2 linked regions of the Elephas maximus indicus genome follow. The protein of the gene in region 1 interacts with the protein of each later gene in a pairwise test. Links are inferred from orthologs where the notes say so. Each region holds a gene or a part of one and is shown in the gene's direction. Other genes may lie near its edges.

Evidence for each region.
Region 2: the proteins of protein-arginine deiminase type-4-like (region 1) and ANXA4 interact in binary tests that used the Homo sapiens proteins (3 or more experiments, as listed by UniProt). The two-hybrid records come from large-scale screens. The link is inferred for Elephas maximus indicus from reciprocal best matches to the Homo sapiens genes PADI4 and ANXA4.

What each region holds. Positions count from the first base shown.
Region 1 is NC_064821.1:56,595,994-56,612,281, forward strand, and holds the start of protein-arginine deiminase type-4-like, read left to right. Parts: upstream 1-7,492; 5' UTR 7,493-7,523; coding exon 7,524-7,615; intron 7,616-16,288. UniProt on the Homo sapiens protein: Catalyzes the citrullination/deimination of arginine residues of proteins such as histones, thereby playing a key role in histone code and regulation of stem cell maintenance.
Region 2 is NC_064835.1:66,487,021-66,503,168, reverse strand, and holds the start of ANXA4 (annexin A4), read left to right. Parts: upstream 1-7,441; 5' UTR 7,442-7,840; intron 7,841-7,872; exon of another isoform or gene 7,873-8,023; intron 8,024-16,148. UniProt on the Homo sapiens protein: Calcium/phospholipid-binding protein which promotes membrane fusion and is involved in exocytosis.

The sequences.
Region 1 (16,288 bases):
ATTTTCCCATGTATTGTAAATCCAGTATCGTTAATATCACATGCAAACAAAATTTTGCTGAAGATCATTCAAAAGCGGCTGCAGCAGTATATCAACAGAGAACTGCCAGAAACTCAGGCCAGTTTCAGAAGAGGATGTGGAACCAGGGATATCATTGCTGATGTCAGAGGGATCCTGGCTGAAAGCAGAGAATACCAGAAGGATGTTTACCTGCGTTTTATTGACTATGCAAAGGCATTCAACTGTGTGGATCATAACAAATTATGGATAACATTGCGAAGAATGGAAATTCCAGAGCACTGAAATGTACTCATGAGAAAACTGCACACAGATCAAGAAGCAGTTGTTCGGACAGAACACGGGGAATTTGAGTGAAGGCAGTGGTTTTGGTGGGTAGAGTCAGGAAAGGTGTGCGTCAGGGTTGTATTCTTTCACCATACCTATTTAACCTGTATGCTGAGCAAATAATCCGAGATGCGGGACTATATGAAGCAGGACGGGGCATCAGGATTGGAGGAAGACTCATTAACAACCTGCGTTAAGCAGATGACACAAACTGGCTTGCTGAAAGTGAAGAGGACTTGAAGCACTTACTGATGAAGATCAAAGACCACAGCCTTCAGTATGGATTGCGCCTCAACATAAAGAAAACAAAAATCCTTACAACTGGACCAATATGTAACATCATGATAAACAGAGAAAAGATTGAAGTTGTCAAGGATTTCATTTTACTTGGATCCACAATCAACACCCATGGAAGCAGCAGTCAAGAAATGAAAAGACGCATTGCCTTAGGCAAATCTGCCACAAAGAACATCTTTAAAGTGTTGGAAAGCAAAGATGTCACCTTGAAGACTAAGTCGCCCCTGACCCAACCTATGGCCTTTTCACTCACATCATATGCATGTGAAAGCTGGGCAGTTAATAAGGAAGACGGAAGAAGAATTGATGCCTTTGAATTGTGCTGTTGGCGAAGAATATTGACTATACCATGGACTGCCAAAACAATGAACAAATCTGTCTTGGAAGAAGTAAAACAGAATGCTCCTTAGAAGCAAGGATGGCGAGACTGCAACTTACATACTTTGGACATGTTGTCAGGAGGGATCAGTCCCTGGAGAAGGACATCATGCTTGGCAGAGTACAGGGTCAGCGGAAAAGAGGAAGACCCTCAGTGAGGTGGATGGACTCAGTGGCTGGAACAATGGGCTCAAGCATAACAACGATTGTGAGGATGGAGCAGGGCCAGGCAGTGTTTCGTTCTGTTATGTACGGGGTGGCTATGAATTGGAACCGACTAGATGGGACCTAATGACAACAACAATTGTAAATCCTAATCTCTAACTGTGGTTCAGGAGGCAAGACTAGATTATGTTGTAGAGGATTAGGGTGGGATGTAATACTCTTGCTCAGGTCACATCCCTGATCCAATGTAAAGGGAGTTTCCCTGGGGTGTGGCCTGAACCACTTTTTATCTTACAGGAGATAAAGGAAAGGGAAGTGAGCAGAGAATTGGGGACCTCATACCACCAAGAAAGCAGCGCTATGAGCAGGCTGTGTCCTTTGGGCCTGGAATTCCTGTGTGGAGAAGCTCCTAGTCCAGGGGAAGATCGATGACAAGGACCTTCCTCCGGAGCTGACAGAGAAGGAATGCCTTCCTCTGGAGCTGACACCCTGAATTTGGACTTGTAGCCTACTAGACTGTGAGAGAATAAACTTCAGTTTGTCGAAGCCTTCCACTTGTGGTCCTTCTGTTATTTCAGCAGGAGCTAAGACAGAAGTAGATCACCAGGTTTTTTTCCCGAGGCACCTCTGGGTGAACTCGAACCTCCAACCTCTTAGTTAGCAGCAAAGCATATTAACCATTGTGCCACCTGGGTGTTTAATAACAAACCAAAAAACCAAACCCATTGCTGTTGAGTTGATTCCAACTCATGGAAACCCCACATGTTACAGAGTAGAACTGTTCCATGGGGTGTTCTTTGCAGTAATCTTTATGAAAGCAGATCACTAGGACTTTCTTCTGCAGAGACACAGGGTGGATTTGAACCGCCAACTTTTAGATTATCAGCTGAGTGCAAACCGTCTGTGCCACCCAGAGACTTCATTTAATAATCAAAAACCTAGCCAAATCTGTTGACATCAAGCCAATTTCAACTCCTAGTGACCCTATACGGCAGAGTAGAAATGCCCCATAAATTTTCCAAAGAGTGGCTGGTGAATTCGAACTGCCGACCTTTTGGTTAGCAGCTGAGCTTTTAACCCCTGTGCCACCAGGGCTCTGTTTAATAACGAACCCCCCCAAAACCCAAACCTGTTGCTGTCGATTCTGACTCATAGTGACGTTATAGGACAGAGTAGAACTGCCGCTTAGGGTTTCCAAGGAACGGCTGTGGATTTGAATTGCCAACCTTTTGGTTAGCAGCCAAACACTTAACCACTGCACCACCAGGACTCCCTGATAACCAGGGGGCGTTTAATAGACAGTGCCAGGCACTTAGTAGGCATTCGGTTTGCTGATGAACAGCTAAATGAATGAATCTTACTGAAGGAATGGCTAGGCCATCTATTCTTAACACAACCGCACTACCTTCATTCTTAGAGTCTCTGGGAGTGTTTACGGACCCTGATTTCTTTCCCCAGGATGATACTGGGCCAGTCACAGTGCCTGGACATTAGCTCAGTGCTCAGTGGCCTGGCCCTAAATGCCCAGAGGGCATTGAGCAACCCTCAAAACACCTTCACTTCCTCCTGGTGAGGGGCTGGGCTGGTAATTCTGCATTTGGCAGGAAAAGGGGCCCCTTCCTCCAGGTTCTGACTTGGGTTCTCAGCCAGTTGCGCACATGGACAGGAGAGGGTCCCCAGCCCCAAGGCCCCCTTGAGGCTCTGAGAGGGTTAATGCCTCCTGAAAGGTAACAGCCATGCTGGGCTCTCAAGGATCCTCTCAGGAGGCTGCCCTCAGAGGACGCACCCATAGGTCAAATGCTGAGCTGCAAACAGCCATGATATTCAGTCACAAGTGTTTAGTGAACACCTACTATGTACCAAGCACTGTTCCAGGCCCTGGGGTGCAACCAAGACACGGAGAATCCAGACTAGCTAGGAGACAGACATTTATATACACACATAGTGACAAACTGGCAAATTTCAAGGGCAAAACCCAAAATGCTCTGTGGGAGAATAGGAGCACCTTTTAGAAGGAGGAATCAGGCACGTCCACTGGAGGAAGCTATGTTGAAGCCGAAATACTTAAATTTGCACTGACAAGCCACTTATCCTTCGCCAGGCACTGTTCAGAAAGCTTTACATGTGTTAGGTCATATAATCCTCATACCAATCCCATGAGATAAGTATGGTTATCATCTTCATATCACAGACGAGGAAACTGAGGCACGAAGATGAAGGAACTCATCCAGGGTTGCACAACTAGGTGTGCGGAGCCAAGATTTGAACGCAGGCCATCTGGCTACACAGTCTTTGCTCTTAGGCACCATCCCTGCTACCGAGGCATCTCCCAGGACAGGATGGGGGTCATAATGGGGAGACAATACCAGAGAGGGGAGCTGCCCAGGGAGATTCTAAGACCCAGAAGTTCCTGAACCTTTTCTAGGAACTGAAAGAAGACCTGGTGGTCTGCTGTAAGGGGAGTTAGGGGAGAGAAGGCCCAGGTGAGGATGGAGGTGTCAGTAGCAACGAGATTATGCAAAGATAAATCCACAAAGTCTCTGCAAATAGCCACAGACGTGCATGGTTTGTTAATACATTGCAGCATCGTTTATGATGCTGAAAATTTGCAAACAGGCCCCACATCCAACAGTAGGGAGTATCTGTGTGATGATGAAGTCATCGGAGATGCTGGAGTGGGTGGTACCCCGCACCCCTCCCCCAGGCCCATCTGCCTCTTGTTTCACTGATCTCGACCCCTGCCCACCCCAGAGCCCACTGCCCCTGCCCTGCCCTGCATGGCTGAGTGCAGGTCTGCAGAGAGGCTCTGCCTCAGAAATGCAGCTGCTTCCCCCAAGACTATGGGTGTGCATGTGTGCATGTATGTGTGTGCGTGTGTGTGTGTGTGTGTGTGTGTGCAGAAAGAGGACAGAGGCTCCCCCATGTTATACTTAAAGAAATGTTTATAAACCTGGCTTTCATTGGCTCCTATGGAATAGCAAATAACAAGACCTTGCTCTCTGGGTCCTCCTCTGTCTGGTCACTCCTGCTTGGTCTCTGGTGGAGCACACCAGGGCTCATTCCTTGGACTTCTCTCTTCTCCATCCACACTCATCCCTAGGCGACTTCTCCATGCCGACATCTCAGAGGTTTCGTTTCCAGCATGGTCTTCTGTCTCGAACTCCAGAATCATAGGTCCAATCCCTCTACAGAATGTCTCTGCACTACTCGAATGAACATTTCCCAGTGGACATGGCCAGGACCAACTCCTGATCTCCCCACTGCCCTCAGCCTGCCCTCTGCCAGCCTCCCCCAGCCCAGGTGATGGCAGTTCCATCCTTCCAGGTGCTCAGGCCCTGAACTTTGGAGTCGCCCTGGTTCCTCTCTTTTGCTTTCGCCCACATCCAACCCCTGGAGAAGGACATCATGCTGGGTAAAGTAGAGGGTCGGCGAGAAAGAGGAAGACCCTCAATGAGATGGATTGACACAGTGGCTGCAACAATGGGCTCAAGCATAGCAACAGTTGTGAGGATGGTGCAGGACCAGGCAGTGTTTCATTCTGTTGTGCACGGGGTCGCTATCAGTGGGAACTGACTTGATGGCACCTAACAACAGCAATATCCAACTCACCTGCGAACGCTATTGTCTGTACCTTCACGATATGTCCAGAATCTGACCACTTCTCTTCCTTCCCTGCCACCACCCTGGCCTGAGCCGCTATCATCTCTCCCTGGTCTCCCCACTTCCTCCTCTGCCCCCTATGGTCTACTCTCACACAGCAACCAGAGTGATTGTGTTTAAAGAGGCCAGATCATGTTCTTCCTCTGAACAAAACTCCCCCAAGGCTCCCCATGTCACTTCAAGTAGAAGCCAAAGTCCTTACAAGGCCCCCAAGGCCCTATATGATCTGTTCCCTCATCTGTTCCTGCTGCTCACCCCTCCCTCATCCTCATTCCCCCCCAGTCACAGTGACCTTCTTACTCTTCCTGGAACCCACCAGACATGTCCTTGTCTCAGGACACGCACTGGTTGCACTGGCTGTTCCCTCTACCTGGAACATTCTTTCCCAAATATTCACATTGTCACCTCCCTCAAGTCTTTGCTCAAATGTCACCTACCCTGACCACCCTATTTAAAATTGCAGTCTCCCCTTTACCGTGCATCCCTGATAACCCTAACTCTGCTCCATTTTTCCTTAACTGTGACCTCCTAACATAATGTATAACCCACGTATTATATTTATTGCCTACTGACTGTCTCTTTGCATTAGAAAATAAATTCCATGAAGACAAGGATCTTTGTTTTATTTATTTAATTTGCTGTGTATCCCCAGCACCTGAGAGGGTGCCTGGCAAACAGCAAAAACAAACAAATCCATTGCTGTCAAGTCGATTCCAACTCATGGTGACCTTATAGGACAGAGTAGTACTGCCCCACAGAGCTTCCAAGGAGCTCCTAGCGGCTTCAAACTGCTAGACTTTACCAGGGTTTCCTGGCAAAGAGTAGGTACTCAATAAATATTTGTTGGATTAACAAAATTGCTTTTGGTTTGTCCTCCTTGTGGCTTATCCACAGCCGATGTAAACCCCAAACTGCCATAGGAAAAAAATAAACTACCCAGGAGACCTAAGACTTGGTGGCATTTAAGCCGTCCCCCTTGCTGTGTTACCACGGGAATGTCAAGGCCCCTCTCTGTGCCTGGGTCTCCCCATCTAGAGAATGAGGACTGGATTTGGCGTTCCCTGAGGGTCCTCTTAACTCTGACAATTGACAGCTCCCTCCAGCCACCTTCCATTAGAAGCTCAAACCACCTTGAATTCTATGGCCAGCCAAAGAACTTTCCTTTATTAAGATTTCCTGTGTGCAAGCAGTTGTGTGGACACATCAGGGCAGGAGGTCTGGCCGCATTATCTCTTGGTAAAGAAAATGGGCTTCGAGCGTCGAGAAGGGGGTTTGGAAGCTGGACCCTGCACTTTCTGGGCTGTGGAACCTTAAAGACTAATTTAGCCTCTCTGAGCCTTTATGGCTCGTCTATAAACTGAGCTTCATGATAGGACCTGCCTCAGAGGCACGTTAGCATGAAGCTGGATTTGAATTCAGACTTGCCCATTCCCAAAGTCAGACTCTTCTTCACTAAGGCAAACTCTCTGCTTTGAAGCCAAAGCAAACAAAATACAACATCCCCAACCCTCAGAACACTCTACGCCCCTTCCAGGTCCCGAATACACCCCCCACTGAGTGCTCCCTGTTGGGGCCTGTCCAGCCCTCCTCACCCAACACCCCATTGGCAGACAGAGCCCGACACCAAAGGCCCAGGTGCAACCACAGCTCTGTGGCTGAGTGAGTGTTCCCGTGGCAGGCGTGGTCCCCTCCTGTTCTGTCTAGTCTGACACCCAGAGGCCCCAGCAAGTGGCAGGCATCCTGGAGTGTGCAGGCCAGCTCTCCCGTGCACTGGCCATGGAATCTTGGGCAAGCAGTTTTCCTCTCTGAGCCTCAATTTTTCCTTCTGTAAAATGGGTGATAATAATACGTACATATATACTTTGTGCTGCAGTGAGGAGTAGATACAATAAAGTCTGAAAAGCACTCTCGACATGAACAGGCAGCTGAAAAATCTCACACTCTAGAGCCAGACGTCTTTAGTTGAAATCCTGGCTCTAGGGCTTTCTAGCTATGTAGTGTCTCCACACCTCAGTTTCTTCTTCTGTGAAGTGGGAATAATAATGGCACTTGCCTCAGAGAGTTGCTGTGAGGATGAAACAAAGGGATAATAACAGTGCCTACTTCATAAGCTTGTTGTAACGAGTTATTCCAGGCAAAGTGCACAGACAGCGCCTGGCACATGGGACACACTCAAGAAGGAGGTGCTGTCATGTTGGTACCCAGCCTGGGGAGACTTGTCCCAAGCCTGGCTGGTCTTTGAATGTGTAGCCTGAGCTGTGACCTCTCACCTAAAATCTCCCACCCTCCCTACTTGTATCTCCTTCTTTTCTCTAATGCCCTTGTTTGGTTCAGGGAGGCGAGGTTGGGTGGATCCAGGTGGTCATGGACCCCCAGCTGGGACGGGGCCATGGGTATGAGGGCTTCCTCACTTGGAAGTAAGCCCCCCGGAGCCCTCAATGCTTCCCAGGGCACTGAGTGAGCTAGCTGCCCCGCCCCTGATCCTGGCATTGAACCCCAAGCCTCCTGAGGGGCAGGCCCAGGACAGAGGACAGCTGAGAGCATCTGCCCAGGACGTGAACAGGGAGGGGCTGAGCTGCTGGCCTCCACCACAGGCGCTGACTCATGGCCCCTGCTGGATGGTATAAAGGAACCTGCCCAGAGGCTTCCTGCAGCCGGAGGGAGGAGCTGGCGGGGCAATGGCTCAGGCACCAGTGATCCGTGTGGCCCCAGAGCAGCCCACCCATGGTGTGTGTGTGCTGGGCACTGAGTCTCGGGTCGACGTCTTCAGGTGAGAGGGGGGCTGTGGGCAGGCCTGGGAATGCTGGGCGAGGCTGCCCTGTTGATGCAGGAATGTGTGGTTGGCTCAGGCTTCAGGTGCAAGCTTTGGTAGCCACAACCAGGGGAGCAGCTGGGAGAGATAAGACCTAAGGGGCCCTGGGAGGTGCCCAGGCTCACGGCAGTGGACTCTTTGCCCTGTACGAGTATGAGTTCCTGTGGGCCTCACCACAGAGAATTATTATGAGTCAATCAGGGCCTGTCTTCTCTCACTGTCGAAGCAACAGAAGCTCAGAAAGGGTCTGTGGCTTGCCTAACTTCACACAGCAAGTATGCCCTGGAAGCAAGGCTAGAACCTGGGCCTCCTGAAATGTACCTGGTTCAAGGTACATTTTGTTACCCCACACCACTCAGCAAAGCATAATAGTGTGGGCCTGATGAGATGGCTCTGGCACGGGACAGACCGAGGTGGGGAACCTGGCCCTGCTGTTGGCTAGCTGGGCAACTGAGCCTCATTTCCTCATCTGTGAAATGGGATGATAATACCCAATTCATAGGGTGCTTGTAGGGATTAAACGTGGGAAAAAAAAATGTGAAAACGTTTATTGAGCACTTAGCCAGGGCTAGGTACATGTCAAGTAGTAGTTTTTTCATTCACTCAACAAGAGCCGACTACGTGCCAAGCCATGTGCCAGACTCTGGGGAAAACAAGATGGTAAAAGAATGTTCTCAGGGAGTGCATATGGTTGTTATGGTTACAGTTGTTGTCAGTAAAAGTAATGGCAGCCCTGGTTCCTCCATCCCAGCCAGGAACATTTCCTTGAAAGTACCACTCACTGCCTGTACCCGGGGAGTGTGAGAACAGCAGCAAATATCTGCATGGCCTCCGAGGGCCACAGAGGGGAACGGGAGAACGAAAAGGTTGAAGAATAAAAGAAAAAGAGCCTGATGTCATTTGAGGCCACAAACTGCTCTGAGGATGAGATGCTTGGTGGTGGATACAGAGGAAATGAAAGGGGCCGGAGCTAGCCCAGGCCCCTGGCAGCATTACCAGGCTAGCCCTCTACCCTACATGGGGCCGGGCAGCACTGAGCAGCAGTGGGCTAAGGTCACAAGTGCTTCTTCTGGCTCTGGAGATGGGGACAGAGAGATGGCCAGGGATGGGCCAAGAGGGAGGCACTGCCCACTTCTCCCCAGAAAGAAGGGGAACCCCACAGTTCACAGGTGCCTCAAAATCCTCTTTTCTCCTCCTCCAGATGGCCATGAGCCCTGTCAATTCTATCCCCTAAATATCTCTCATAAGAATAGCTAATATTTACATTGTATTTCCTACATATAACTCATTCAACCCTAACCCTAACCCTAACCCCCTGCCCTGTCTCCTGGGCTACCAACTATGGGTGCATTTCAGTGGGGTGCTCTGGTAGAAGAAGAGGTTCTAGATGAGATCCCAATTCCACCACTCCTGAGCTGTGTGACCAGGTGACCGTGGTCAGGGTGCCTTGGGGCCTCAGTTTTCTTATCTGTAAAATGGGGAGAGTGGTGCCTGCTTTGGAATGCTGCCGTGAATGTTCAATGAAGCAACACGTCTAAAGGGCCAGAACATAGTTGCCCTCAACCAATAGTGCATGCGTTCTCTCCAGCCTCAGTTTCTTCATCTATAAAAAGAAACAATAAAGGTACCTTCATCACAGAGTTGTCATGGAGCTGTACATAAAGTAGTTTACACAGTGCCTAGCACAGAATATATAATAAATGGCAGCTATGGCTATGGGGCAGTTCTGCTCTGTCCTATAGGGTCACTGTGAGTCAAAATTGACTCGACGACAACGGGTTTGGTTTTTTTTTTTTTTTAACTGCAATGACTGGAGTCCTGGTGGCACAGTGGCTAAGCATTCGGTTACTAACCAAAAGATCTGCAGTTCGAGTCCACCAGTCACTCCTTGGAAACCCTGTGGGGCAGTTCTCTGTCCTTAGACTCGCTGAGTCAGAATCACCTTGATGGCAATGGATTTGGTTTTTATTTTGGGTTGCAATGATTGGAGTCCCTGGGTGGTGCAAACAGTTAACATACTCAGCTGCTAACCAGAAGGTTGGAGGATCGAGTCTACCCAAAGATACTTCCAAAGAAAGGCCTGTTGATCTACTTCAGAAAAATCAGCCAGTGGAAACCCTGTGGTTGTAGGAATTGTTGAATGGGAAACTGTTTTTCTGTATATCCTTTCACCAAAAATACAATAAGACATTAAAAAAACAAAACAAAACCAAAACCCTACGGAGCACAGTTCTGTTCTGACTTACATAGGGTCACCATCAGTCGGAACCAACTCAACCACAACTATGTTTTGTTTTGTTTTTTCTAAACTGGTTTATGGCCATGATTGTTTCTGTCACTCGTAATACATCACTGTGTCTATTACAGGAATTCATGCTTTCTTGTCCATGCTTACTCGGGTCATAAGTGGCGAGAATAAGATTCAAACCCAGGTCTGCCTGTTTCCTGCTTGTCTCCATAGCCCCTCTAATCCGGACCCCAACTTCCCTTATCCCCACCTACTCCAGGAACTACAGCCCTGAATTATTCAAGGGACCTTCAAGACTCCTACTTCCTGTCTCTCCCAGCTCCACATTTCTTTCGCGCGGCTCTGAACCTTCTCTTCCACTGACAATTCGATCGTGCCACTCCCTTTCGCCAGAACGTACCCCAGCTCCCCATTGCCCACCATATTGAATCTCAACTCCTGTTGGCCTGAATGCTTTGATTCTCTGCTTCTGCTCCCTGCTCCACTGCCTCCCTGCTTCATTACCTCTCGGTCCCTCAAGTAAGACTAATGCATTCCTCTCCTCCAGCCCAGGAAGTCTGTTGACTCCAGGCTGATTTCTCCCAACTCTGTGGCTTTAAATAGCAATAACAACCCACACCCAGGTGTGGTGCTCTCTTTATCCCACCCTGTGTGTCACTTCATATTTCCCTCAGACTCCAGTCAAGTTCAAGGTAATGCAACAAACTTGTATCAGCATCTTCTAGGGCAGAGTTCTCACAATCCTGCATGCATCAGAATCAAGTGGAATGCTCCTTTAAACCAGGGCTTAGAACCAGTTCGGTCAGGTTGGAACCCCTGCTGAGAACTTGCATTTCTAACAAGTTTCCAGGCAATGCTAAAGATGCTGGTTAGGAACCAATTCTGAGAACCATTAGTAGAGCAGTGGTTCTCAAAATTTGTCATACCTAAGAATCACCTGCGGATCTTGTTAAAATACAGATTCCGATTCAGTATATCTGGGGTGGAAATGCAAATTCTCAGCAGGTGCTGGAACTGGAATGAACCAGTTTGAAGCCCTGGCTAAAACACAGATTGCTGGGACTCAGCTCCACAGTTTCTGATTCAGTAGGTCTTGGTGGGACTCCAATTCCCAGGTGACGCTGATGCTGCTGCTCTGGGGACCAAGCTTTGGGAACCACTGAGCTCTGGTTTAAGAGCTCAGGCTGTTCACCAAAAGGTCTGCAGTTTGAATCCACCATCTGCTCCTTGAAAACCATATGGGGCAGTTCTACTCTGTCCTATAGGGTATCTATGAGTCGGAATCAACTCGATAGCAAAGGGTTTGAATTTTTTTTCTTTGGTTTTGGCCTGCGGAAGAGCACAGTGCTGGTACAGCAGAGTGGGGGCGAGTGCAGACAAGGAAGGCAGCCACAGTATGGTGGACATGACCTCAGGCTTGGCTGCAGGCAGGCCCAGACCTGCCATTATCAGCCGTGTGGCCTGGGCAAGTCACTTCGCCCGTCTGAGTCTCGGTTTCCTCATCTGTAAAGTAGGAGTAACGACACCCCCCCCCATAGGGTGGCTGTGAAAATAGGGGTTAATGGTCACATTGAGAAAGGTGACCAACTGGCCACATGCTGCAGGCTTCACCTTAGTGAAAGTCAGAACTTGGGCAATGCCATGCTTATGACACATTGGCAGTGTCAACACAGGTGACAAAGATTCCAACTGCCGGAATTCCTGAAGGGAGGAGGCAGAGGACACTGTGGCTGCTGGTTGGAAGCTAATGTTTTAATTAGACTTCCCCATGACTTCTCTGATTTTAGCTAAGAATAAACTTTTCTATATTGTCACCTTTTGCTGTTCATATCCTCATGACAGGCAAACATTGGCATGGCTGACTTTTAAAAATTTTCTAGAACGTGTCACTTGCTTTTTCTTTTTTCTTATGAGGGAATTGGTTTTGGTTCCAGTGGTTTTTAATTACCGGCCACCTTTCAGGAACCAAGGCATCATGTCAGTTGAGAGCAGGACTTTCTCAAAGGTGGAGAGAGAGAACTGCTGTCGAGAGAAGCACAGAGAGCAAGGGTGTATGAGTTTCCTATGGCTTCTATAACAAATTACTACAAACCTGGTGGCTTAAAACAACACAAATGTATTATCTTAACGTTTGGAGATCAAAAGTCTGAAAATGAGCTTCACAGAGGTATTGGCAGGGCTGCGTTCCTTCTGGAGACGCTAAGGAGAACCCATTCCTTACCTTTTCCAGCTTCTAGAGGCCACCCACATTCCTTGGCTGATGGTTCCTTCCATCAATCACATTCCAATCTCTGCTTCCACCATTGCATCTCCTTCTCTGACTCTGAGCTTCTTTCCTCCCTCTTGTAAGGACCGTTGTGATCACACTGAACCGACCTCTGATAATCCAGGACAATGTCCTCATCAAAGGGCTGGGTTGGATCCTGAGAAAAGGAAATGAGAGCAGAATAGCATTCCACGTGAAGGACAGACAATAAGCAAAGGCTGCAAGATGAAAGCGTTTCAGCAGGTGTGGGGAACTGTGAGTGAACCTACCTGATGGCAGAGTGAGGAAAACATGGTGGGGGACAGTGGAAATACAGGAGGCTCTTGGACCAAGAAGCAACATGCCTAGAGCTAAGCTTCGGCAAGCGACTCTGCTTCTACGTGCCTCAATTTCCTCTTCTGTAAAATGGAGATAATAATATACCTACAGGGTATAGGGTGGTGATGGGAACTGAATAAGTTAATTCATGAAAAGAACTTGAACACTGCCTGGCACAAAGAAATAAATCAATGCTCTATACGTGTTCATTTGTTAAAATTTAAGAACTTGAAATTGACTTTATGCTGACAGAATGAGGGTCCAAGCCAGGGAGGACAGCAGACGAAATAAAATCAGGGGAAGGGAGGGGAAAAAAAAAGTGTGAGGAAAAGAGTTTTTCTTTTTTTATCTACTTTGGCTTTCTTTGGTTCTTCAGAACATACTTTAAAAACTTCTCCCCTGAAGGCAAAACATTAAAATATTAGTAATTGTCTCTAAGTGGCAAGACCCCATTTTCTTCTAGGAAAGGGTTTTGTCCTGTAGTAGTTGTCTGGGAGGTAGTGGCTCAGTGGTAGAATTCTCTCATCTTCCATGCAGGAGACTCAGTTACGATTCCAGCCAGTGCACCTCATGGCAGCCACCACCTGTCTGTCATTGGAGGCCTGCATGCTGCTATGATGCTGAACAGGCTTTAGTGGAGCTTCCAGACTGGATGGATTAGGAAGAAAGGCCTGGCAATCTACCTCCAAAAATCAGCCAATGAAAAACCCTGCAGATCACAAAGGTCCAGTCCACAACGGATCGTGCATATGGCAGAGGACTCTGCAGTGTTTTTCATTCCTTTGTGCATGGGGCCCCCATAAGCCACCTTACTAAGTCCTTACTATTTCTTTTTTTTCTTTTGTCTGTAGATTCTTCTAGGTTTTGCAGACAATCATACTATCTGCAAATATTGGCCATTTTTCTTACTTTTCAATCTATACCTTTTCTTTTTCTTCTCTTGCTGGAGGAGCTGGAATCTGCTGTACACCGTTGAAACCGTGGTGATCGTGGGCATCCTTGTCATGTCCCTGACCTTAAGGGAAGGTTTACAAAATTTCTCTATTACCTGTGATGCTTTCTGTGGGTTTCTTGTTTACCTTTATCAACTACTTACAAAATATGTGCTTTATCTGTAGTGATGGCTTTTCCTGTATTCCTCATTCTTTTTTCTTGATCAGCCTTGCCAGACATATGTCAGTTTTGTTAGTTTGTTCTAAGAACCAACTTTTGGCTTTGTTGATTTAGTTGTTTCTAGTTTTTTTAGTTCATAGATTTCTGCTATATTTATTTTCTTTATTTGGGGAGGTTACACCCTGTTTTCTTAACTTTTGGTCTTTTAAAAAAATACATAAGCATTTAAGGCACAAAGTACCACTTTTACACCCACCCATTTGATTTCTAAGTATTATTATTTAATCTCCATTACTAAGTTTCCTTTGGTTTATGAGTTATTTACAAGCTTGGTTTTTAAAATTCCAAATGTATGGTAAAGGGGTTTGAAAAATATACTTTCTGTTAACGAATTCCAACTTAGTTATGTTGTGATCAAAGAATATGCTACCTATTCTATCTGTTACCTGTTCTTTAATGTTTGTTGAAATTTACCTTTTGGCCAAGTTTGGGTCAATATTTTAAATGATCCATGTATGCCTTGCCTTGGAAAATATATTTTATAACTTTCTTGTATATAGACAGCATTTGTTTAGATTTACCAAAATATTTACCATTTTATTTGCTCACAAATTTTCTTTTTACCTCATATCATATTTCTGGTGTCAGAAATCTTCTTCCTAAAGTATGTCTTTAGAAGTTGCTTTGGTGAAAGTCTGTTGGTTTTAAAATATCAAATTTTGCTCATCTGAAATGTCTTTATTAAAAGTTTTGGTGGGTTCACAATTCTAGATTAATAATCAGTTTTTCAAACTACTTTGAAGATACCATTCAACTGTCTCCTGAATTTCATTGTTGCTGTTCAGAAGCCTTCTTTCAACCTAATCGATATTCCTTTATAGATTATCTGACTCTTCCTTCTAGATTCCTTTAAGATCTTCTTTTCATCTTTGGTGTTCTTTAGTTTAACTACTCTGTGTGTGTGTGTGTATGTGTGTGCATGCACACGTGTGCACATGTGCATGCACAGAGAAGGGATTCCTTAGATATTTCCCTTACTCCTTATGATCTAAGCAATGGCTTGAAAAGCATATTGTATTCATGATTCAGTTATTTTTTAAGACAAATGTCCTTCAGAGTATCTGGTCTGCCATAACCCCAGAAGTAGAAGTCTGCGTGATTCTTCATTTGTGTACAGCCCTGTGTGTGCATTTGTGTGGGTGTAAAGCTTCAACCTACTGAAGACGAATGACGTCGCATTCATCATCAAAAAGAACATTTCAAGATCTATCCTGAAGTACAACGCTGTTAGTGATAGGATGATATCCATATCCCTACAAGGAAGGCCAGTTAATATGACTGTTATTCAAATTTACCCACCAACCACTAACGCTAAAGATGAGGAAATTGAAGGTTTTTACCAATTTCTGCAGTCTAAAATTGATCAAACATGCAATCAGGATGCATTGATAATTAGTGGTGATTGGAACATGAAAGCTGGAAACAAAGAACGATCAGTAGTTGGAAATTTTGGCCCTGGTGATAGAAACAATCCTGGAGATAGCATGGTAGAATTTTGCAAGACAAATGATTTCTTCATTGCAAATATCTCTTTTTAATCAACATAAATGGTGACTGTACACGTGGACCTCACCAGTTGGAATACATAGGAATCAAATAGACTGCATCTGTGAAAGAGACAATGGAAAAGCTCAATATCATCAGTCAGAACAAGGCAAGGGGTGACTGAGGAACAGACCATTAATTGCTCATATGCAAGTTCAAGTCGAAGCTGAAGAAAATTAAAACAAGTCCATCAGAGCCAAAATGCAACCTTGAGTTTCCACCTGAATTTGGAGGCCAATCTCAAGAATAGATTTGATGCATTAAACACTGATGACTGAAGACTAGATGAGTTATGAAATGACATCAAGGACATCACACATGAAGAAGGCAAAAAAGACAGGAAGGAAAGAAAATGCCAAAATGGGTACCAGAAGAAACTCTGAAACTTTCTCTCAAATGTAGAGTAGCTAAAGCGACTGGAAGAAATAATGAAGTGAAAGAGCTGAACAGAAGATTTCAAAAGACAGCTTGAGAAGACAAAGTAAAGTATTATAATGAAGTGTACAAAGACCTGGAGTTAGAAATCCAAAAGGGAAGAACACACTCAGAATTTCTCAAGCTGAAAGAACTGAAGAAAAAATTGAAGCCTCGAGTTGCAATATCGAAGGGGTCTATGGGCAAAATATTGAACGATGCAGGAACCATCAAAAGAAGATGGAAGGAATACACACAGTTGCTGTACCAAAAATAATTGGTCGACATTCAACTATTTCATGTGATCAAGAACGAATGGTATTGAAGGAAGAAGTCCAAGCTGCACTGAAGGCATTGGTGAAAAACAAGGCTCCAGGAATTGACAGAATACCAACTGAGATGCTTCAACAAATGAATGCAGCACTGGAGGTGCTCACTTGTTTTTGTTAAGAAATTTGGCCAATCGACTGGAAGAGATCCATATTTGTGGATTCCATAGAAAGGTGATCCAACAGAATGCAGAAATTATCCAACAGTATCTGTATTATCACATGCAAGTAAAATTTTGTGGAAGATAGTTCAAAAACAGTTGCAGCGGTACATTGACAGGGAACCACCAGAAGAAATTCAAGCTGAATTCAGAAGAGGGTGTGAAATGAGGGATATC
Region 2 (16,148 bases), on another chromosome or scaffold:
GAAATTCGTGCATAACAATAGCTGCCCAAGCACCTTCAAGATACAAATAAGGGTGCCCTTCCTCCTCCACCAAGCCATCTTTTAGGTATTAGTGTTTGCTGTGGGCATTTGGGAGCCCTGGTGGCAGCAGTGGTTAAGAGCTACGGTGAGCTATGGCTGCTAATCAAAAGGTCGGCAGCTCAAATCCACCAGCCACTCCTTGGAAACTCTATGGGGCAATTCTACTCTGTCCTACAGGTTGCTATGAGTAGTAATCGACTCAATGGCAATGGGTTTGGGTTTTTTTGGTGGGCATTTGAGGTGCCAGGAGAAGGTACTATTGCTGTACCAGGGCTGCAGTCTCTGGTTGTACAGGTTGTTCACTGCACAAGAGCTCCTGACAGAGAGGCAGAGGGGGACTGAAATCCAGTCTGCACTCCACTCACCAAAGCCATGCACCCAGTTGAAAGGTATCTTTTTCTATTTGGCACAAATACATCAGTGAGACAGACAGATAGCTGTCATTGAGTTGACTCCGACTCATAGCGACCTTATGTACAACAGAACAAAAGGTTGCCCAGCCTTGTGTCATCCTTACAATTGCCAGTATGTTCAAGTCCTACACAGCAATTATTGTGCCAGTCTATCTCACTGGGGGTCTCCCTCACCCTTCCTGGCCCTCTACTTCACCAAACATGATGTCCTCCTTCTGTGAATGATCTCTCCTGATCATGTGTCCAAAGCAAGTGAGTTGGACAGTACTCTGTTGTGATCCATAAGGTTTTCATTGGCTAATTTTCAGGAGCATGTCACCAGGCCTTCCTTCCTAGTCTGTCTTAATCTGGAAGCTCCACTGAAACCTGCCCACCGTGGACTTGCTGAAATTTGAAATACTGGTGGCATAGCTTCCAGCATCACAGCAACACACAAGGCACCACAGTATGACAAACCGGCAGATGGGTGTTGGATGCATCAGTGAGTATGGGCTAACTGCAGCCCTGTGCTCTCTGCTGTCATCATTTTGCCTCCCTGGCCAGGGGAGAGGGCAGTGCCAGAGAGTCACCGGAGTGTTCCTTCAAAGGAGCTCCTTCATTCTCTTGAGCTTCAAAACATCTTTTCAGAGGATCCTTTCTAGATGTTGATGGGTGACTAACCCACCACTGGAAATGCGTAGGTGGAGAATTACCTTCTGCCAAGAGACGTCTGAGTTCTCCACGAAGGCAAAGTAAGGTGAGTTTAGTCTTTCATCCCTCTCTTGGCCGTGTGATTACCTCTTCTGCCACTAGATGGCAACCTCACCCAGATACCGGAAAAGGACTAAAAATAAATAAATAATAACCCATTGCCTTCCAGGGTATTCCGACTCATAGCGACCCTATAGGACAAAGAACTGCCCCAGAGGATCTCCAAAGCTGTAATTTTTTCAGAAGTAGACTGCCATATCTTTCTCTCATGGAGCGGCTGGTAAATTTGAACCGCTGACCTTTTAGTTAGCAACTGAGTACTTAACCACCGCGCCACCAGAGCTCCTTGGAAAGAGACCTCTGAGGACTGAACTGGAGAAGCGAGAAAGTTGGGACTCAGGGGTCATGTGAGTGAAAAGCAGTTTAGTTTAATCCAGCATCTTTATTACGTGATTTTGAGTACTTTGTCGTCCTGTCATGCAATTGTAGCAAATGGAACAGCTCACAGTTTCCTAGTGGTCATCAAGATCACGAAGAACCTCTTCTTTTCTTGAGGGTCTCCTTCATCAATCCTGTTTCAGTCTGCTGATGTTTAAACCCTGGAGACACAGGACAAACCACAAGGAATTCAGCACACTGACACCCGTGAGAAACACTGACCTGTTAACCTGTTTCCATAGGGTCAATTCCGACTCATAGCAGCTGCACCATAGGGTTTCCAAGAAGCGGCTGGTGGATTGGAACTGCTGACCTTTAGGTTAGCAGCCGAACTCTTAACCATTATGCCACTAGGAAGCCTTATTGATAACATAATGAGATGTTGGCTTAATAAATTCTGATTTGAGGCAACCAATAGCTATTGATCATTTTGAGTCTTTTCTTTTTTTAATTGGGGCACATTTTACATACAATTAATGTAATTAGAGGTATGCCCTGGTAGAGCAATGGTTAAGCCCTTGGCTGCTAACCAAAAGGTCGGTGGTTCAAACTCACCAGCCACTCTGATGTAGAAAGTTGTGGCCATCTGTTTCCATTAAGATTACGGCCTATGAAACACTGTGGGGCAGCTCTGCTCTGTCCTGTAGGGTTACTGTGAGTCGGGATTACTCAAGGGCAATGAGATAGCGTTAACTAACCACCTTCCCCACTATTCAATTTTCCAGTTGTCCATTCTGGTATCCACTTTCTTTTTTTAACCTTCTTCCTTTGCTTCTTTGTTTTGCTGGAGCACATCATTTAAAAGCTTCTTAAGAAATGGTACAGAAAGATGAATTGTTTGAGACCTTGCGTGTCTGAAGATATCTTTCTTCTACCCCCATCCTTGACTGACAGTTTGGATGAGTATGGGAATCTGTGTTGGAAATAATCTTCCTTCAGAATCATGAAGGCATTATTTTATTGTCTTCCAGTTTCAATTGTTGCTGCTAAGAAATGTGATGTCTTTTTTTTTTTTAATTGTGGCAAATATATATGTAACAAATCACTTACCTTGTAAACATTTTTCACATGTGCAATTCATTGACATTAGTTATCATGCTGTTCAATCATTGGCTTTATCCGTTTCAAATTTTCTATCATCCTTAACAAGGGACCCTCTTGTCCCTTGTCTCTTATCTGCCCCCGGCAACCACTAATAAACTTTGGTCTCTATACGCTTGCCTAGCCTAGATATTTCATATAAGTGGAATTATATAATATTTGCCCCTTTGTAACTGACTTATTTGCACTCAGCATAATATTTTCACATTTCATCCATGTTGTAGCATGTAATAGGACTGCATTTCTGATGCCATTTTAATTCTTTTTTTTATTATGCTTTTAGCCAATGTTTACAATTCAAGTCTCTTTCTCATACAAAAACATAAACGTATTGTTATGTAATCCTAGTTGCTCTCCCTACAATGTGACGGCACACTCCTTCTCTCTACTCTGTATTTCCTGTGTCCATTCAACCAGCTCCTGTCCCCCTCTGCCTTCTCATCTTTCCTCCAGACAGGAGCTGCCCACATAGTCTCATGTGTCTACTTGAGTTAAGAAGCACACTCCTCACCAGTATCATTTTCTGTTTAACAGTACAGTCTAATCTTTGAAGAGTTGGCTTCAGGAATGGTTTTAGTTTTGGGCTAACAAAGAGTCCAGGGAACATGACCTCTGGGGTTCCGTCCAGTCTCAGTCAGACCACTAAGTCTGGTCTTTTTACTAGAATTTGGGGTCTGCATCCCACTTTTCTCCTGCCATTTTAATTATTGATCTTTTGTGTGAAATCTCAGTTTTCTCTCTGGATGTGTGTGGGATCTTGTCTTTGTCCTTGGTCTTCCGAAATTTTGTCATGATGTGTCTTGGTGTGATTCCGTTTTTGTCCATTGTGAGGGCTCAGCATGCACTTTCAATCTGGAAACGCATGTCCTTTGGTTCTAAAAGAATATAATTGAATTATTTAATTGATTTCTTCCCCTCTGTTTCTCAGACCCCTTGAGTTGGTTTTCTGATTTCCTAATCCTTTCTTACCTTTTTCCCTTTTGCGTATACTTTCTGGGATATTTCCTCAACTTTATCTTCCTACAACTTTACTGAGTTTTTTGGTTTTTGCTATCATATTTTTAACTTAAAAGAGCCCTTTTTGGTTCTCTGAGTATTCTTTTTTATAGTATCCTATTCTATTTTTAGGGGCCCTGGTGGTACAGTGGTTGAGGCCTTGGCTGCTAACCAAAAGGTCAGCAGTTTGAATCCACCAGCTGCTCCCTGGAAACCCTGTGGGTCAGTTCTACTCTGTCCTATAGGGTTGCTACGAGTCAGAATCGACTTGACAGCAATGGGTTTTTATTTTTATGGCTGTAACAACTCATTTCTCAGAAGAGACCAATAATAGATCTTGCAGGGTTTTCATCTTCCCATAGAGATTGTTTCTTCCCAAGTCTCCTTTTTCCTGTTATATGTTTTGGGTTCTATTTTTCATGTCAGATTCTCCTCTTAAATTCCAATGACCTTTGGCTGTTTTGCTCTTATTGAAGAATGAGTAGAGTTGCCATATTTAGCAAAACAAAACAAGAAAAATGGGATATCCACTTAAATGTGAATTTAAATAAATGACAAATAATGTTTTTAGTATAAGCATGTCCCACGCAATATTTAGAATATACTTCTAGTATGTAAGCATTTCATATTTTAGTAAAAAAAACCAATTTGTTGTTTATCTGAAATTCAACTTTAACTGAGCATCCTATATTTTGTCTGGCAGTTCTAATAATGAAATCTAAAATCCTAGCTGGAAGCTCTGTGTGTCTGAAGTGGGTAGGGCTTGACAACTGTGAATTCACTAAAGGGGTGTCCCAGCTGGGCTCTGAAACCTGTTGCCATGGAGTCAGTTCCGACTCATAGCGACCCTACAAGACAGAGTAGAACTGCCCCATAGAGTTTCCAAGGAGTGCCTGGCGGATTTGGACTGCTGACCTTTTGGTTAGCAGCTGTAGTAATTAACCACTATGCCACCAGGGCTCTATTGTTGAGTAACTGATGACAACATCTTTAGGTCTTTCCTCTCAGATTCCCCAGAAAAAAGTATTCCAAACTCCCCGTTCGAGCAAGTATAATCCTGGCTACCAGTGTTCGGGGAGCCAAGTGGAGGGAGAATACTGAACAGCTCAAAATTCATGTTAAGTTTCCTGTGGCTCTTCAGTTCCAGGACAGTTCCTCCAGCCTTGTGTGGTAGATTACAGACAAATTATTTGCTACACCTCCCATTCAGGGATGGCACCTAATTCCCCTTCCCTAGAATCTGGGCTGGCCTTAGTGACTTGCGTGACTTACAGAATGTGGCAGAAGTAATGCTCAGGGGTTTCCAGACTTAGACCGTAAGAAGCCTAGTACCCTAGTAGCTTCCGCTTGGGCCTCTTGGAATCTTCTTTCTGGGAGCCTTGAGCCTCTGTGTAGGAAATCTGACTACCTACCCCAAGACTGCCATGATGAAGAGGGAACATAGAGGTGCTCTGGTTGACTAGACCATGCCAGCTGAGACCAGCCTCCCAGGCTTCCCTGCCATGTTCCCAGACATGTGAGTGAAGCCTCCAGACTAGCCCATGTGCCCGCTGAATACCCTATATGAGACAGAAGAATTGCCCAGCTGAGCCCTGCCCAAAAATAGTGAGGTATAATAAAATGGGTACTGTTTTAAGTCATTGAGTTTTGGGGTAAGTTGCCAGGCAGTCTTAGAAGCCAGACTGCCTTGACTACACCTGGTGACCCCCATTCCAGAGATCTCTGTATCCTGTCTAGAGATTACGCCTGCATCTCCTGCTGGAGTAGGAGGGGGCAGTGGCAGCTGTGCAGTGTTGGGGAGGGAATCTAGGAGCCTGACTGTTTCTGTAAAGACTTACAACAAATCCTCCTATTCCCAGTCTTACCTATAAACCCATTTTCAGAAGTACCCGTTACGGCAAATTCCTGCGTATCTTGGGGAGTTCTACAGCCAAATCACATTGCTTCTCCGCTTTCTCTACTCCTGGCTTAGGAGTTAGCTTTCTCGGGTCTTCTAGTCAGTTATCACCTGTCCATCTGCTTTCTGGGTTCCAACATCTTGTTATTTTCCCCTCTCTTTTTCCCTTGTCCTTGCAAGATATTTTAAAAAAATCTGCTATTGCTTAATGGGATTTCTAGAGGGAACTGAGGTGAATTTATAGGTTCATTCTGCTATCTTTAATTTAAAGGCTCCTTCGAGTCTTTCATTTCAACCATTACATTAATTTTTAAAATACCCTTAGATCGTGTTCCCCAGAAGCAGGAGCCTGAGCAAGTGTCTCAGTGAGCGAGTGTTCTCAGGAGAAACCTGTTAAGTAAATGAGGGAAGTAGGAGTGTGCAGGGGAAGAAGCCGAGCCAAGATGTGGTTTCTGCTGAAGTTTAGCCTCAGTCTGATCCCACAGGAGCTCTGGAGTATGAAGGACCTACAAATTTAGTCCTGGCTATTTGTAAATGCTCAGCTGCTAACCAAAAGGTTTGAATCCTCCCAGAGGTGCCAGAGGTGCCCCAGAAGAAAGGCCTGGTTATCTATGTCTGAAAAATCGGCTACTGAAAACCCTACGGAGCACAGTTCTACTGTGATGTACATGGGGTCACGATGAGTCAGAACTGACTCAAGGACAACTAGTTTTGTTTGTGTACTATAAATGTTAGCCTCTGGCTGTTCTCTCCCCAACTTCATCTGAGGGCCTTTCTCAGGAGAAGGGACTAGCTGGGGAGAGGGGGTGCACCTGCCTAGTAAAGGCGCTGTCAGCAGGGTGCCAACAGCCTCTGCTGTATTCTCTAACTTGCATTTTTTTTTTTAGTGTTTTTGTTATTTTTAAGGGATAAAAAAGTTTCTCATTTCTTTGAGGAAATGAATTATGCTTATTTCATTTTATTCTATTGCTTGCCCTTTGAATTTTGTTTCTTCAAAGTCAGTTCATAAACCGAGGCCCAGAGAAACTTTTAAGTTATTTGCCCAAGCTGAAACATAAAAGATCTTGAATGCAAATCGGTCTGATCCTAAAACTATGTTTCTAAACCATGCTAAACCACCTCCTTTAGCTACATCTTAATGGAATAATTTAATGCTACCACTCCGGTTTTAAGGGGGCAAATAGCCACTTCGAATTTGGTCTGTTGGACAGCAAACACACTCTCAAAAGCTACCTATCCTTTGTTAAATAAAATTGGAATTTGCTTGTAGACTCAATGGACTCGTTCTGCAAGCCTTCCCTGAGCACCTACTATGCGCCTGCAACTGTAATCGGCGCGGGTGCAAAAGTAACCCAGACCCAGTCCGTACCCTCAAGGAGCTTGCCCCGGGTAGAGGAAGCAGATACAGACTGTATTCGTATTACTAAGGGCGCGCGCTGCACTAACGCAGAAAAGGGGAGCTACGCACCAGTATTGTTGTTAGTCGCCCTAAGTCATTGGGTCTCATGACCATAACCATGTGTGCAAAGTAGAACCGCTCCATAGCATTTTCAAGACTGTGACCTTTTGGAAACAGATGGAAAGGCCTCTCTTCCTATGCGCCTCTGGATGGGTTCGAACCGCCAAACTTTAGACTAGGCTAGTAGTCCAGTGCTTAACTGTTCGTGCCACCAGGGACTCCCGACAAGTGCTAAATCATACTGGTTTATAGGTGAAGAGAGAGAGAGAAGATCCGGGTTAGCTCCTACCTCTCCTTCCCAAAGATTTCCTCCGCCTGCTGGGCACATAAGAAAAGTCTCTTTCCTTCTGATGTGGAACTGCTAGAAACTTTTTGGAATGTTTGTTTTAATGTGAAAGAGTGAAATGAAATGTGCCATTGTGATTTCGCTCTCCACTTTTCCGCCGTGAGCCTACGGGCGAGACAGACACCGCGGTTTCCCAGGAAAGAAGCTTTGATTTACGGCGACACACCAGCCCCAGGCTGAGCTGGGCGCGGCCGGTTGGCGAGGAGCGGGGGAGGCCGCGCGTGCGCGGCCGGTGGACGGTGTGGGGCGCCCAGGCACCGAACACCGAAAAGTCAAACTTCCTCGACTCCGTGCGGAGAAAAGGTGCTGGGCGGCCCGGGAAGGAGAACGAGACGAGGAGCCCGCACGGGGAAGTGGCCGCCGTCAGCTCCAGACCCACGCCCGGAGGCGAGGCCACGCTCCCACCGCGCCAGGCGCGCACTCGAGGTCCGAGGCTCCAGGTGCGCTTCGGCCTGGGAGGGATTTTCCGGTCCCGTGAGCAGAGGGACAACCAGGAACTCGGGCTCAGTCTCCACCCCGAAGTGGGGCGGGTCCGGCGGGGATAAGACCCGTTGCCCGGCCCTGACAAGGGTGTGACCTCCTCGGCCTCAGAGGACGAGCTCAGCCCCTTTCGGCACCGAGCGGTAAGGGGTGGCCGGCCGGGGGTGGGGGTGTTCTGGGCTTGGAGACGGGGTGCCGCGGCCCGAGAGCGCGTCGCGGAGATGTGCAGCCCAGCGCCGCGCCCAGGAGGGGTTGCCCAGCGCGGCCCGATCGCCCCGCGGACTTGCGGGCGGGATTGGGGCGTCCACATTGGGCCCGGGACGCGCTGCTAGTGGGCAAGGGGGGGACAAACACGGACTGTACCCACAGGTGGCAGCAAGAAAGGTGTCGAGAGCACTTTATATGCCCAGTTAGGGCCCACCGCAGTTATTTATGCACATGTACCACACAGCGTGCTGGGCTCGGACATTAAAAAGAAAAGATTCAATTCGTATTCTCTGGATCTGCCGCAGGCTAACGTCTAAGTTTTACTTTTTAATTCCTTCTTTCCTCCTTTTAAAAAACTCTACCCATTTTTCCTAGTTTCTTTCCCCTGTCTTTCCTCACGTATCTGATACCTGTAACAGTGCCTGGCACTTGAGAATCTTTCTTTGTTGGGAGGCCCCGGACTCTGGCTCTTTGGTCATGGCTTTGACCAGCTGGAGGCTTTGGAGCCCAAGAGGCTATTGCTTTTCAACCGTCTGCCTGGCTTTAAGTGTTGCCCAAGTTGATGCAAATCTCCTGTGAGTTGTTTTGAACATTTTGAGTTCTGAGTAACCCACGCCTTTCAAGAAAAATGGAGAACTGAAAGGACTTGTGCCCCCTGGAGCTGACAGTAGGAAGGATGGATAGGGCCCCCTCCTCCAAATTATCCATTCCAAGGGCCATCAATTCCAGGACTCCCACGTCCCCTGACATTGCAAGTTACTCTGTTGATAGCCAAGCACTAGTTCTTAAAAGTAGCCAGGGAATTCTTAGACAATAGAGAGGTGAAAAACAGGAGAGGAAGGGGGCAGGAAAGAGGACCCCACCCTGTGGCTGAGTGAGACCTGCTTACTTTCCAGAGCCCTATCTGGCCAAGGCTGGATCCCGGGCATTCAGCTCAGGTCGGATTTCTATTAATCTGGGGATACACACACCCTTACTGGATCAAGGGCATCTATGAATTTTCCCTCCTAAATGTTGTTGCTTTTTTAATTTTTCTATGAAAGCAATTTACGGAGTAAAGTGCACAGAAAAATTGGGCCACACCAGCCTCGGCATTTGGAAGGTGAGCCTCCTGGTCATCCCCAGACTCATGTCACGTAGCTAGCGTTCCTTTGCTTATGTCCAGCCACTCATTTGTTTTTCTGATCTTGCTCACCTAAGGAGCTTGTAGACTAAGCCTGCTCTTCTCCCACAGAGGCCCTGGGGATGGTAGGCAGTGTGCCAGGGAGGACCTGAAACAAGGGAGCATTTTCCTGGGTGTCAGTTTTGCCGAAATTGTTGAAGATAACGATACCTTTGTATTAAAACTATCACAGATACATTTTGGCGCTGAATCTAAAATTTGTATACCTTTTTAACATAAAACCAGAAACTGCAAAGAATTTTTGCAGTTTGGCTTAAACCTAGCCCTTGAGGATTTGTTTTCACTGCAATTAGGGCTACTTGTGGACACCAGTTTGATAAGTAGTGCAGTGTCCTCCCTGAAGGAACTTCTGATAACGGTCATTCTCACTTCAACCTGAGGCAGCATCGTTAACCTTGTTTTGCAGATGAGGAACCCAAGGCCCAAGCTGTGGTCATTTGTCAAGGTCAGATCATGTATAAACTGAGGCTCAAATCCAAATGCTTGGTGCTAAAGCCTGTACTCTTATCCTCGCTGCTCTACTGTGGCCCCATCAGTGCTTGGTTCATAGGGCCTTGGGGTTTAGATTTGTGCTTACCAGCTGATTAACTAAATCTTGATCAAATGTTTTTCTTTTCCCCTTCAACTTTGATCTTATCAAGCCTCAGCCTAAGCAGGTAGATGAAACACTGACACGTGAGATGTGGTTAAACGAACTGGAGCTATTTAGATGGGAAAGAGAATACTACAGTGGGTGTAGTGGCACACGGTACCCCTTGCCGTCGAGTTGATTCCGACTCATTGGAACCCTAAATTCTTGAGGGGCTTGGCATGTGGACAGAGAAATAAATTCACTCTGTATGGCTTCGGTGGGGAGAGCTAGACACATTGGGTAGGAGATTTTTGGATCGTGGGTTCTTATTGAATTTAAGGAAGTGGCTTTTGATGTGGCCTTGGAGTCTTCGAGAGCTCTCTCACAAGAGGTGTCTAGAAAGAGGCTGGCTGTGACGGGTAGAAAGTTATACTAAGATGACTTATAAGCCCATAGCTCCCAAACTTCAGGATGCATCAAAATCCCCCCTGCATGTCCAAAATGCAAATTTTTGCCTCATCCCCCCAAATTCTGATATTGTGTGACTGGAGGGGGACCCAGGAACATGCATATTTAGCTGGCTCAGACTCACCTTGTCTTGGTCATCTAGTGCTGCTATAATAGATATACCACAAGTGGATGGCTTTAACAAAGGGAAGTTTATTCTCTCACAGTCCAGTAGGCTGGAAGTCTGATTTCAGAGCGCCGGCTCCAGGGGAAAGCTTTCTTTCTCTGTTGGCTTTGAAGGAAGGTGCTTGTGATGTCTCTGAAGTCTTCCCTTGGTCTGGGAGCATCTCAGTGGAGGAACTTCAGGTCCAAAGGAAGCGCTCTGCTCCCGGGGCTACTTTCTTGGCAATGTGAGGTCCCTTGTCTCTCTGCTCACTTCTCTCTTTTATATCTCAAAAGAGATTGGCTTAAGACGCTATCTTTTTTTTAATCTTATAGACCTCATCAATGTAACTGCCACTAATCCATTTTATTACATCATAGTGATGGGATTTACAACACCTAGGGAAGTCACATCAGGCGATAAAATGGTAGACAATCATACAATCATAAAAGGGAATCATGACCCAGCCAAATTTACAGATATTTTTGAGGGACACAATTCAATCCATAACACACCTCATAATTTTACAGTGCTTAACATCTATAGACCAATAGGGAGCCCTGCTAAAGGTTTTTTAATTTGTTTTTTTAACTGAATTGAAACTGAAATGGATTACTACATTAAGATTAATTTCCCTAGGGATTTAGGATTTCTATCTAAGGCCTGCTCTTGGTTTTATCGGGAGTTACTTGTTAGTGTTTGGTTGTGTCTGAACAGGACTGAGAGCTTTTGCTATGGGAACCTGAAACACCACCTTTGAAGAATTCTTTTTAACGTTTCAAGTTGTTTGAGACCAATGAATTACCGTACTGCTTCTTGGTCCAGAGGGCTTGACACACAAACCAGAGTGACTGTTATACCAGCAGTCAGCAGCAGGGATAAATTGCAGCTGATGTCCAGACCGCAGACGACTATGGAAAAGACCTTCCATTTCCCCCCGGAACCGTTAAGGCCTAGAGACAACACAGAGCATGAGCAGTGTGACATGGAACCCAGTGGCAGGCACCCTGAGTGGGCCTTTGTCAAGTCATCAGAAAGGCCTCTTGCTCAGTCACCGTGTCTTCATCCCTCTGAGTTAGCTCACTCACTCTGCTGGAAAGGTAATATATTAAATTATTACCAAAAGCTAACTTAGAGGGACCTTGTGTTTACTCAGGAACAAATTCTCCTGAATTTCTTGTAATTGAGCCGTCTGCCTTGAAGGAGGTCCTTTATAGATAGAAGCCTGGTGGTGTAATCAGTCTTCAGCATCTTCCCTAGGCAGGCATTTTCTGGGACCTGCTTAGCTTCAGCTTCTATTTTTGCTGCTTTTTTGATACTTTTGAACTCAGTGGTCCTCACCCTTGTTAGAATCACAGACTTTTTTGAGAATCTGATTACAGCTATGGATCGTCTTTCAAAATTAAATAAACAACATACATGTTATGGTTTCATGTAGTTTCAAGGGGTTCACAGACACCCCCCAAACCCAATCATGGATACCAAGGAACAACATAGACACCGTGTTAGGAGTCCTGAAATTTGGCAGCGCTGATCACAGTTTTTATAAAATGCATTTCCCTTTGTTTCAGCAATTTCAATTCTAGGTGTTTATCCTGTAGATACACTTGGACGTGGGTGTAGATGTTTACAAGGGTGTGTACGTTGCAGCCTTGCTTATAGTAGCAAAACATTAGAAGGAACCTAAATATCTACCAGCAGCCTGTTACGGTCCAGTCGATTCGTCCATGAAACACAATATTATGCAGCTGTGAAAAAATGGTGCAAATTCCTAGGAACTGATACTGAATCATAAAAAAAAAAAAAAAAAATTTTTTTTTTGAATCATATTTGAGATAAATTGTTTTTTTAAAAAAGCTTTGCATGATATGCTATCATTTATGTATATAAAAATGATAGAGGCTATGTATATATTTTTATATGCTTATTTATACATGAAATACTTCTGGAAGGATACACAGAAAAATTCTAGCAGTGGTTGTTTTGGGGGGCGTGGGGTAACGTCTTACAGATTTATCATTATGTATGTTTTTGTACTATTTGAATTTTTATCATGTTTGTTTTATTATCTATTAATTTTTTAAATAGAGAGCTGCAGATAGCCACACGCTCATTTAAATTGCTTGTCAAGAGAGAAAATAAGACAGAAATGAGGAATGTATAATTATCAAATCCTCCAACCTTAAAATTAGTATGTGATCATATAGTTTCTTATTTGCATATAAAGAGTTAACAGGTGTAGTTTTGCTTCTGCTTCTAATGAGATGAGATAGCAGCTGCTCATTCTTGCCACACATTTCAGTTGGGGTATTTATTCATTGGCGTACCTCAGCTTGTTCCAAAAAGAATGTAACCGAATCAGAAAACCAAACCTGTTGCCATCGAGTTAATTCCGACTCATAGGAACCCTATAGGAGAGAGTAGAACTGCCCTATAGGGTTTCCAAGGAGTGGCTGGTGGATTCAGACTGCCATCATTTTGGTTAGCAGCCGAGCTCTTAACCATTGTGCCATCAGAGCTCCAAAAGAACGTAAGGAGCGTTGAATTAGATGGTGGGGAAAGCTCTGTTAAATGGTCTGATTGATTCCAGCATTACTTTAGCTGCAGAAGCAGACAGTGGAAGTAGGTGGGATAAGTCAGGACCTGTCAACTAGATAGACCTGCTGGGGCAGGGCCCTTTATCTAAGAAAGTTCTAGCAGTGATAGCAGGTCATGGGCGCTGAGGGGCCTGGATCCCATTCATCACCCCAGCCGTGGCTTAGTTTATGAGGGCTCTGCTTCTCTGCGTGCTAGAACCTCCATGCCGCAGGTATTAAATAATCATGAGCCTGGCTATGCCAAGCGCCTGGCATGTTATTTTCACCCATATGAGTGGGTGTTATTATTATCATCTGCATTGTATAAATAAGGAAACTGAGGTACAAAGGAGTTAAATAATTTGCTCAAGGTTGCATACCAGCAAGTAGTAGAGTCAGGATTTGAACTTGGCAGTCTGATTCTGCATGTCGTGTTCTACCACTCTGTTATATTGTATGTTGTTGTTGTGTACCATTGAGTTGATTCTGACTCAAAGCAACCCCATGTGACAGAGTAGAACTGCCTCATAGGGCTTTCTTGGATGTAATCTTTATGGAAACAGATCACCAGATCTCTCTCCCATGGAGACGCTGGGTGTGTCCGAACCGCTGTAACTTTTCAGTTAGCAGCCAAGCGCCAAACCATTGCACCACGAAGGCTTCTTGTTATACTGTATAATGGGTTAAACGTGGGGAATCAGCCAGAATAGGCAGTACTGGGAGATTAAGCTGACCATGGGGCTGGACTCTTTCAGAGAGGAAGAGGTGCAGTCTATATCCAAACCACTTGTCCAAAATGAACTTGATGTTGACCTGGGTCATTCTAGGGGGTCCCAGCTGTTGGTGAGGCATGAGAAATGGAGATTAAGCCAAGACAGTGTGCTGCATCATGATTCTGGTAGCTCATTCCTATGGGAGAAAGACTCAGAGCAGGATCTAAAGGAAGGGGAGACAGCTCTGCATCTTGAGGGGAGGGTCTTCTGGAGCTAGGTAAACCAAGAAACTCAAACTTGTTGCCGTCGAGTCAATTCAAACTCATAGCAATCCTATGGTATGGGGTAGAACTGCCCCATAGGGTTTCCAAGGAGTAGCTGGTGGATTCGAACTGCCAGCCTTTTGGTTAGCAGCTGAGCTCTTAACCACTGCACCACCAGCTAGGTAGGATGTCAGTAAACAACAACAAAACTCAAACCAGTTGCTGTTGAATCAGTTCTGACTCATGGCAACTCCATGTGTTTCAGAATAGAGCTATGCTCCATAGGGTTGGGAATGGCTGTGATGTCAGTGATTCCTGCCACATGGACAAAGGTTCATTTAATTTTACAGTGTGGCTAGCACTAGGAATTCAAGGATGAAACACACATCCCCAGTAAATCAACAAATCAAAAATCACAGGACGTTATGAAGGGCGATTGGCTACACTATCACATACTGCCATGGACTAACAAAGGAGGGGCACCTACCTCCATTCTGGATGGTCATAGAAGGCTTCCTGGAGGGAACACCTTTACCTTGAGGGTAGGGTAGGAGAAGAAGGGCTTATCACAGGCAGGGAGATGAGAAAGCAAGACATGGCACACTGGAGGAGCAGGACGAGTCCCAGAGGGCAGAGCTAGAGTGCTGTCAGGAACTAAGGCTGTTCTGTAGGTCTCTGGGAGCCAGGTCAGGTCAGTACTGGGGGACAGGTCCTAGGAGGTACAGGAATCCCATACTTTGGCATCTACCTCAGTGTATGGCACTGTTACTTAATGTTTTTGAATAAAATGGATGAGAGCTGGGTGCTAGGCAGAGGTTTAGCCTTGGAGAAACAAGATGCCCTGCTTCCCTGCCCTAAACCTGGCCAACTCTTGAAGGATTTCAGCTTGGACATAGTCTCCTTCCTGAACCACTGGATTAGGGCCCCTCCTAAGTGCTCCTGGAAACCCTGGTGGCGTAGTGGTTAAGTGCTATGGCTGCTAACCAAAAGGTTGGCAGTTCCTGAATGCTTCGAAGGCCAGCGTAGCAGGGGCAGGGGTCTGGGGACCATGGTTTCAGGGGACATCTAAGTCAATTGGCATAATAAAATCTATTAAGAAAACATTCTGCATCCCACTTTGAAGAGTGGCGTCTGGGGTCTTAAATGCTAGCAAGCAGCTATCTAATTGGTCTCAACCCACCTGGATCAAAGCAAAATGAAGAACACCAAGGGCACAAGGCGATTATGAGCCCAAGAGACAGAAAGGGCCACGTGAACCAGAGACTACCTCATCCTGAGACCAGAAGAACTAGATGGTGCCTGGCTACAACCGATGACTGCCCTGACAGGGAACATAACAGAGAACCCCTGAGGGAGCAGGAGAGCAGTGGGATGCAGACCCCAAATTCTCATAAGACCAGACTTAATGGTCTGACTTAGACTGGAAGGACCCCAGTGGTCATGGCCCCCAGACCTTCTGTTGGCCCAGGGCAGGAACCATTCCCGAAGCCAACTCTTCAGACATGGATTGGACTGGACAATGGGTTGGAGAGGGATGCTGGTAAGGAGTGAGCTACTTGTATCAGGTGGACACTTGAGACTATGTTGGCATCTCCTGCCTGGAGGGGAGATGAGAGGGTGGAGGGGGTTAGAAGCTGGCGAAATGGACATGAAAAAAGAGAGTGGAGGGAGAGAGCTGGCTGTCTCATTAGGGGGGAGAGTAATTGGGAGTGTGTAGCAAGGTGTATATGGGTTTTTGTGTGAGAGACTGACTTGATTTGTAAACTTTCACTTAAAGCCCAATAAAAATTATTTTAAAAAAAAAAAAAAAGGTCAGCAGTTCCAATCCACCAGCTGCTCCTTGGAAACCCTATGGGGCAGTTTTTCTCTGTCCTGTAGGGTCACTGTGAGTCGGAATCGACTCAACGGGAACGAGTTTGGTTTTTTTGGTTAAATGAGCCTAACTCTGCACTTTGGCCGTCACAGAAATGTTCCCACCATATTGTGTCTGACTCCATTCAGTGTCAAGCTCCTCTGAAGGCAAGGACCATGAAGCCCCATCCGCTGGCCTAGCACAGTGCCAAGCACATAGTGGGTGCTCGCTGTAAGTTTCCTGAATGACTGTACAATTCCCCATAGCCTGGAAAATTTAGTCCAGCCTCCAAG